Linked DNA regions of Neurospora crassa OR74A. The protein of the gene in region 2 purifies or fractionates together with the protein of the main gene of each other region. This does not show direct contact. Links are inferred from orthologs where the notes say so. Each region holds a gene or a part of one and is shown on either strand. Other genes may lie near its edges.

Region 1 (4,310 bases), on a different chromosome or scaffold from region 2:
ACAGAGCAGAGAGAGAGATAGGAGAGATTGAATGAACAGCTCGGTACAGACTGATTGCCAGTGAAGACAAGCTTCGTCGCTCCCCGGTAAGCTTTTTGCAGTGTATATGATATGACTCGCATTTGGCGTTCACCTTGGCTCCCGCTTACCAAGCCCCTGGGTTGTGAGAATCTCGTAGGAGAAGAATTCACTGATATTGAGAGGGAGGTTGGTCATCGTACTATACATATTCACACGGTGCATCGAGAGACGTCCTCCAAGTACATAATAATGTTCAATGCTTCTTATTTTGAGCTGCTCGACGTCAGTGGCCATTCCACAGACAGTTGCCAGACATACCATGCCATGCCAGAGTTTAACCAACACTCAATTATTCACAACCTGACCACACTCTTCCAACACATCATTCAGCGGAACCCATTGGCCTTCGGCCCGTTGAGCGTCAAAGCATCCAGCTCTTCCCTCGTCCTCCTGTATAACTCCTGCGCCTCTCTCTCCCTCGTGCTCACAAAGCCCACCTCCTCACGCAGCGCCGCCAGCCGGTTCCGAATAGCGGCCTGCTCCGAGGACTGGAGGACCTTGAAAGCGCCCAGAGCGTTGTTCGCCTTCTCCAACGCCTCGTGAGCCTCACTGATCTTCTTCCGCAGCATTTCAGCCCGATTCTTGTAACCGCCAAGATGCAGGTTGAGCTTCTTCTCGAGCTTGTTGCCCTTCTCTGCCGAGGCGACGATTTGGTCAATGACCTCCTGCAGGTTAGGTTAGCCAGTAAGCCTTCGGAAGGCAGGAGGCAGAAAAGGGGTTAGTTGTACATACCTCAAGCGCAATTTGCATAGTGGAAATCTGCTCTTCTTCTTCATCGTCCTCATAGCATCCCAGCCCAAGCAAAAGGGAGCTGCTGTTGCTCTTTTCCCACACCGCTTGAACTTCTTCCGGCTTTGGTTTATCCTTGATTTCCATCAGAACCTGAAGCTTGGCCTCTTGCAACGCGGCGTCGTCGATTTTCTGGATCTCCAGTGCCCGGCCAGTTGGCTGAGCTCCCGGTAGAGGATACTTGGTGGCATCATGAGCTACGAGCAAGGCCGCTTCACGAGCGATGAGAACCTTGACAGGGTCCTCGGCCTGCGAGGCTTCCTTCAAGAGTGACTGATAATCGACTTGGACAGGCCGAGGCAGATCCCGCTGCATGACCTGGGTACGTCTCTTGCGCTCCAACAGCTCTCGCGCCTCCCTGATCTCCCTTTCTCGTCGATCACGTTCAGCAGCATCCTCCTCCAGCTGCTCAGCGGTCTTGGGCTCTTGCTGATCGTCCGGCAGCTCGAGCTCCCACTCGGTCTCTTTGGGCTTGGGAAGAGACGCGAGGCCTTGCTTGAGCTGGTGCCGAATAGACATCTCGCGCATCTTAACATCTCGGGGTGTGCCGCCCACCATGGACATTTCGTCACCGGCATCATTGAGAGCAAATGTATCACGGGGAGTGCGCAGTGGTGTTTGGCCGACGCGGAGGGGCGTGGCGCCAGGACCAGCTCCAGCTGCCCGCAAAGGGGTGGCTAAGGGGTTAGGGGTTGACATGACCTGCTTCCGCGGCGCAACCGACTCGAAGCCGGTAGAGCCCACCCCCTGGTGTAGAGGTGTGTTCTCTCCACCGAGCAGCGAGGATTGCGTCTCTGTTAGTGCTCGGATGTTGCGGATCTCGTTTGCGATGTGGTCTTCCTGAGCGGGGGCCATCGGTGTTCGGATTGGCGCATTGGTGTTGAGTGTCGAGTAGTTGTTGATCAGGCCACGAGTTGCGTCGTTGTCGCTTTCGCGAGCCAGCATATTTGCCCGTTCGCCAATCATGCCCATCTTCACAATTTCCTCCAACTCGCCTTCGCCGACCTGAGGTGCTGGCAGGACCAAAGCCCTCCGCTTGCTGCTCTGTTCTGCCTCGCGCATCTTCTGCAGTTGACCGGCCTTGAGGGCGGCTTGCACAGATGGGTCCTTGTCGCCCTTTCTCCTCTTGCCGTCTCTCTCGTCCTCTTCACCCTTGCGCTTGTTCCCAACCTGCTGCTTCTTGGGGTCGAAATGGGCGCGCTGGTACTCGTTGCGAGACATCTCCTCGGTGGTGTCATAGAATCCGGGAACAGGCTTCTTTTCGAATGGAATATCGGCATTGTAGTCCATCTGGCCCTGCTTCTTTGTCGTAACCTTGATGTTGATACCGGCTGTCTTCAACTCGCGACGCTTCTGGAGAGCGGCCAGTCGGCGTGACTCCTCCTGCTGTCGCTCACGGGCCTTTCGCTTGGCCTTTTTACCCTGTGTGTTGGCCAGACGCGCGCGAGCCTCGCTCAACATTTCTTTCTCATCTTCATCGAGATCGATGGTGTCGGGACGGGCGGGTTTCGTCTCCGGATCGGGGTCGACCTCGCCAGGACGTAGTTTGCGAACATCGTCGGCGCTGGGCGCGTGAGCTTCGCCTCCATCAGGGCCCGTCAGCCCAAGAGCGGACGCCTCCCTCTGCTCAGCTTCGTCGAGAAGTCTTTGGTATCTTTCCAGGCACTGGTTTGCGGTTCTTCCAACGATGGGGGCAATGGTACGCCATTGGGTCGGCATCAGCTTGGCGAGGTGCAGCAGCTTCTCATCCTCCTCCTTGCTCCATTCGATCTTCTTGATGCTGGGATCCAGCCATTCGTTCCATCTTGCCTTGCACTGCTTGGGCGTCTTGCGGGCCAGCAGCGACGAGACGCGGGCCCACTGGTTCAGGCCGTACTTGCTGACCGACGCCTTGAGGATTTCATCCTCGATGTTGGTCCACACACCTCCCTTGACGACGGGCATCTTGTCGCTCGGCCGTTATGGATACTCGTCGGGCGTTGTAGTGATGCGGGAGTCGTTCCGGTAGGTGGGAGGACACTCGGGGTTGGGGTTGTCTTGGAATTGGAATTGAAAGTGTTGAAATGTTGTTGTGTTGATGGGGAAGAAATCCAGAAATTCAAAGCGCTGGCGTCAAGGCGAACAATGGAATCACCCGCGACGCAACTGCCTTGGCGTCTTTCCCAGTATCAACTGTCAAGCGCTAGCCAACCTCAAGACCTTTTTGCGGCAGGCAACAGGTTCCCGCGCTGTTAGCATTTTTGTGTCCCATGCATGTGGTAACTAACAAGCGAGCCAAGCTCCGGGACCCCTGCCTGCCGTTAACCACTAACAGAAGGATGCCCCGCCCTTTTGTCGCGACACGCTGCTGCTGTTGGTCGAGTGGATGAAGCTTCCATCCACCATTTCTGGTTCACATGTCTTTCTTTCCTCTTACATTTCTCAACTCTTTACAGAAATCCCCAGAAAGAACATCAAATCGCTCCGAAACTGGACTCTTTAACCCAATTGCGCTCTCCAAAAGTACGCGTCTTCTCCGAGTACCAAAGCATTTACCCGTAGGATCACCATCGGGCAATTCTCAGATTATTCTTAGCATCCATAAGCTGTCGTCGATCAGAAGAGCTCCCGTCGGTACCTACTTTGGACTTGGAGTGCTCGCCGTTCGAGTCCAAACACAAGTCGACTTCAGGACAAGGACAGCTTGCGAAAGCAAAACTAATCACTTAGTTAAATATTTGTCAACGTTACTGCTAGCACGACGTCTGCCGAGCTACATATGGCCAGCGACGTAGGCTCTCCCCGAAGGGAGCAAACACCTTCCGGAGCTGCCACGACGATCCCTCAGAAGCGCACGCTCGAAGACGACCACAGTCCAGCAGTTCCATCACCCCTAAACCCAGATAACAAGGCCGCTCCAAGAGTCCAAATACAGGCACCCGAAGACACCCAGCAAGCAGCCGTTCTAAACCGCGAAAAGAGAACAAAGAAGGACTCCTTCAAGAAGAGGGAGGCCAAGGCAGCAGCAGGCGGTTCCGATAGTTCTAGAGCAACTCCAGACCCGAAGCAGCAACACAAAGAGCCCTTGATCAACGAATTGCTCCCCGCGCGCTATAAGCTCGCTCCGCCCAAACTTACTGATTTCGAGCCCGCGCGCGGTCCCGTCTTCACCAGCCATCATGAGGTTCAAGGGCCCGAGGGCGAGACCATCGAATTCTTTGATGCAACCGAACAGTATGTCTTATCTATATTTGCTCCTTCGCCATTCTCCATTCATGCGGAGCATATTCTGATTTGCCTTTTTCCTACAGTGTCTTCAACAAGCGAGCGTTCCATTACACTCACTGTATAGCCGACCCAACGTTTCCTTCCATGTTCTACTATCGCCAGACCGAGACCGAGCCGTACGCTGCCCACATGGCCTTCGAGGACTCTGCCTCCCACGTATACTTTGACCGACA
Region 2 (4,429 bases):
GCTTCTGCGAGGACACGGGACTTGGCATCCTGCGCGCTTTGTGGCTGGCGCCTCTTTTCCCAGCAGACAGTTGCTAACGGCATCTCGCAGCGATTACATTAACCCTATTGACCTCTGCAACCGCCTCAACACTTACATCATCCCCGAAGTCGCTGTCCACGGTTTCCTGACCTTCCTCTTCCTTATCAACGGCTACTGGCTGCCTCTCGTGCTCAACCTGCCTCTTCTCGCCTGGAACGTCAAGAAGTAAGTTTTAACAACCGCTTGGATGGCAATATCCGCAGCTTGCGCGAATCGGATAACTAACCATGCGGTGCAGGATCGTTGACAACGCCCACCTTCTGGACGCCACTGAGATCTTCCGCAAGCTTAATGTCCACAAGAAGGTATGTCATCAGCTCAACACAACCAACCGCGTCCGCTGTGGTGGAGCTTCAAGAACTGCTTCTAACCGATCTGCGCGCTCTCTAGGAATCTTTCACTAAGCTCGGCTTCCATCTCATTCTGTTCTTCTTTTACTTGTACAGCATGATTGTGGCCCTCATTCGGGACGAGGCTCATTAGGAAATGGCCGTCGCTCGCTAAGTTGAACTGGACTTCTCGTTTCACAACGATACCGCCACAAAGTCCGTCGGATCGGACGCGGAGCTCTCTCATCGGAGCTCGTGCTCGCATCTTTACCACCACCGTTTTCTCGAAAGTACATAACGGCGCTGGGCACACTGGTACGCAGTACTTCAAACACACACAAACAAAAAATATATACAGTACAACGACAGGCAAGCAAGCAGGCAGGCAGGATCCTCGGCGACGGATGCTGCAAAAGGACGGGAAGGGTTCATGAGCGTAACATACGACGACTTTGACAGATGGCATGGGAGGGCACGAAGCTATGAAGAGATGGCGGGAATGATTATATTATTGGATGGCGGGAGAAGAGGAGGACGAATTGTATGGTCTTGGCTTCTATAATGAAGAGGAAAAGCGACTGACGGGCTTCGGGAAGGTGGCAACTGCCTTGCTGTACGCCTCGGTTGGCATGACAGCTGGATAGACGGGGCAAAAGGAAATGATGAAAAAGAGTTTACGACCTCTTCAGCGGTACCAATTGGGTGTACGCAGGTGAGGAGAGGGAGAAATCGCGTGCTGTATTTTACTGCTTCCTAAAGTATGTAATGAAACGGGACGGGCTACGTCATGAAGATCATGGTCTGTTGCTGTCTTGTCAAATGTCAACACCGAGGGAAGGCAACGCGGGCCACATATGGAGAACCACGAACATGACTTTTTGATCCATAGACATTGGGCGCGTTGTTGGAATATGTACTCTCTTAGCAAGCTGTTGTCGTCCTACCAAGATGGAACCGAATATTCGGGTCATTGAACACTCTTTGTACTGCATAGTAGAGAGGCAAGCCAGAAACAATAGAGCTTGGCTCAACGCTGATCATTGTCAGCCCCTCCCTCACAAGCAAGCTGAGTCTCAGCTCCAAAGCTTGGTCCTTGCTCAACCAGAGTGCGACAGCAACCCGGTAAGTGGGTGGTATATGGCCCGTGCGCGCGTATATCGTAGAAGCTCCACTCTGAATTTGAGTTCCACTGTTCCAGACGTCAACCAATGCGCCCGGCCTGCCGCCAACGACTCCAAGAGGGTCGCATCCCATCTTCATCTCCAAAACAACAAAAACAACAAAACAAAAAAAACATTTTCAGGTTCATCAAGCGTGCGGCTGGCGAGCATACCATCACCACAATTTCATCAAGCCGCAGCAGAACTAAACATAATCCAAATAGCCATGGCCGACTTCAATGAATACCCAGCAAACCTGTCAGTCAAAGACGCCCTCATCGTCCGCCAAGTCGCCGAACCAGACCATGCCGTTGTCCCCTACACCGGCGAGGATCTAAGCCGACCGCGACTCGGGCCCGCCAACCCCTTCCGTGACGATACCGACTCGACTTCCACTGCGGTCGGCACCAAGAGGAAGAACGTCCTGACCGGTACTGCGGCCGAGACTTACATCAGCGAACACACTTTTCGCTCCAAGCACCGCGCCATCGAGCGCGGCGGTGGTCCCGCGCGCGAACAATTGGGGAGTACTGCCAAGAAGGCGGCGGCTGCAAAGCTGAGGCAACAGAGAGAGGGGAAAGGAAGCGCGACGATTGCGGATGGCGATGGGGCCTACGTCGGGCCATGGGCGCGGTACAAGAAGCAGGAATATGAGGAGGTGAATGAAGAGGAGCTGGGGAGTGGTGAGGAATATGAGATTGTCGAAGAAGAAGAAGGGGAGGAAGAGGAAGACGTGGTAGAGAGCGGGACGGTCGTCAAGGCGCCGACGAAGAACCTGGCGCGCAGGAAAGAGGTGGAAGAGCAGGGCGCGGAGACGACGACGTTCCATGGCACCGAGGAATTCGATTACCTTGGCCGGACATACATGCACGTCCCGCAGGATCTGGATATCAGTCTCACCAAGGACGTCGGGAGCGTCACGAACTTCATCCCCAAGAAGCACATGCATACATGGAGGCACCATGCCGGCAAGCCGATCACGGCGTTGCAGTTGTTTCCCAAGTCAAGTCACTTGGGTCTGTCGGGCAGCACGGACAGCACCATCAAGATCTTCGATGTCTATCGCAATCGCGAGCTGTTGCGGACGTATGCGGGCCATTCGAAGGCTATCACCGACTTGTCGTTTAACAGAGACGGCACCAAGTTCCTATCGGGCTCGTTCGACAGATGGATCAAGTTGTGGGACACAGAGACGGGACAATGTGTCAACAGGTTCAACACGGGCAAGACACCGCATGTCATCAAGTTCAACCCGTCGGTGGATCAGGGTCACGAGTTCTTGGCGGGCTTGTCGGATAACAGGATTGTGCAATACGACAGTCGTGCGGGAGCGGATCCAGTGCAGGAGTACGATCACCACTTGGGCGCCATCAACACCCTCGAATTCGTGGACGAGAACAGGCGGTTCATGTCGACGTCAGATGACCGCTCGTTGAGAGTATGGGAGTATGGAATTCCAGTCGAGATCAAGACTATCAGGTATGTCTTCTCTTTTTTTTCTTCCTCCCATTTTTATTCTCCTTACCAAAAGTAATCACATGCTAACATTTTCTCTAGTGAACCCGACATGTTCGCCCTCACCAAATCCACCCAGCACCCCTCGGGCAAATACGTCCTCTACCAATGCTCCGACAACTCCATCGTCGCCTACTCATCGGCCTCGGACAAGTTCCGCCAAAACCGCAAGAAGTCCTGGCGCGGCCACAACACCGCCGGCTCCGGCATCGGGCTGGTCTGCAGTCCCGACGGGCAGTTTGTCGCTTCGGGCGATACCGGAGGATACGTCTGCTTCTGGGACTGGAAGACGTGCAAGATGTACCACAAGATCCACGCGGACACGAGCGGGGGGGCGATCAACTGTGTGGCTTGGTCGGAGCAGGAGACGAGTAAGGTGTTTACGGCGGGGGCGAAGGGTGAGATTAGGATGTGGGATTAGACACTGTCCGGTCTCGTGGGTCATTGTGTGAAATTGGGCCATTGCTGAGGGATTTTGATGGCTGTCCTCAGGGATGACGATAGAGGAAGAAGATTGGAGCGTCGCGTCTCAGGTGAAAGCAGGCAAAGAACGAGCGACCGGAAAAAGATATTTACAGCATTGCTTGGCGTTGGGAGAAACATTTCGGTACTAATGGGATTGGACTGGCTTTTCAAGTGCAAAGACTTGATTTTGGAGCAGCAGCAGACACCAATCAAGACACCGGCGAACAGCCGATATTGATCATCCATTCCCGGACTTAATTCGTCTTGACTCAGTCGATTGAACTATATACTGGACGTGCACTGAAAATATGACAGTGGCTGGTCGACCGAGTATCTTTGTTGTAATCAATCGAAGTGCCGACGACTATCCCCTCTACATCACGGCGTCGAGGCTTACTTCCCAAGAAACCATGAACGTTACACTGCAGCCAAGTGTCTTTGGATTATTCGGCTGTTCATATTGGTCTGGTTATGTTACCCTCGCTGCCGCTGGTTATTCAAATGAACATTATCTATCATCTTGTGCACCGCACCGCTCAAGTTTACTTGTACCCTTCATGCAATTCCGGTTCTTCTGCAGCTATAACACCATTGTCGGAGTCATTGTTTTGCGCATCTTCCTCATACCCGTGGGTGTGTGTGGTTGGCTCATAGTGCCACCCGCTTTGGAAGAAAAAAAAAACACCGCCAAAGGATTCTCATCAAAACCAAAATACCTCCTTTCGTAAAGAACGAGGGGGTAGTTTCTATCTACTACGTAACTTAAAGAGAAAGAAAGAAAGATAAAAGGACAAAATGAGTTCGAGCAGGAAAAAAGAAACCAAAAAGAGTGGACAATACCGGATTCGAACCGGTGACCTTTCACAAAGGCGCATCTAT

What was found.
Region 1: the proteins of NCU06921 (region 2) and NCU06994 purify together in Schizosaccharomyces pombe (affinity purification with mass spectrometry; 3 studies listed by BioGRID, with this or other methods). This does not show direct contact. The link is inferred for Neurospora crassa OR74A from reciprocal best matches to the Schizosaccharomyces pombe genes prp17 and cdc5.

Annotation. Positions count from the first base shown.
Region 1 is NC_026504.1:4,815,513-4,819,822, reverse strand, and holds NCU06994 (pre-mRNA-splicing factor cef-1), read right to left. Parts: upstream 2,978-4,310; 5' UTR 2,815-2,977; coding exon 814-2,814; intron 747-813; coding exon 408-746; 3' UTR 156-407; downstream 1-155. Other genes in the region: NCU06993 (Ash2-trithorax family protein), read left to right, coding at 3,629-4,083, 4,161-4,310. UniProt on the Schizosaccharomyces pombe protein: Involved in mRNA splicing and cell cycle control.
Region 2 is NC_026507.1:771,675-776,103, reverse strand, and holds NCU06921 (mRNA splicing factor), read left to right. Parts: upstream 1-1,629; 5' UTR 1,630-1,796; coding exon 1,797-3,049; intron 3,050-3,127; coding exon 3,128-3,506; 3' UTR 3,507-3,845; downstream 3,846-4,429. Other genes in the region: NCU06922 (endosomal cargo receptor), read left to right, coding at 91-246, 320-386, 472-564.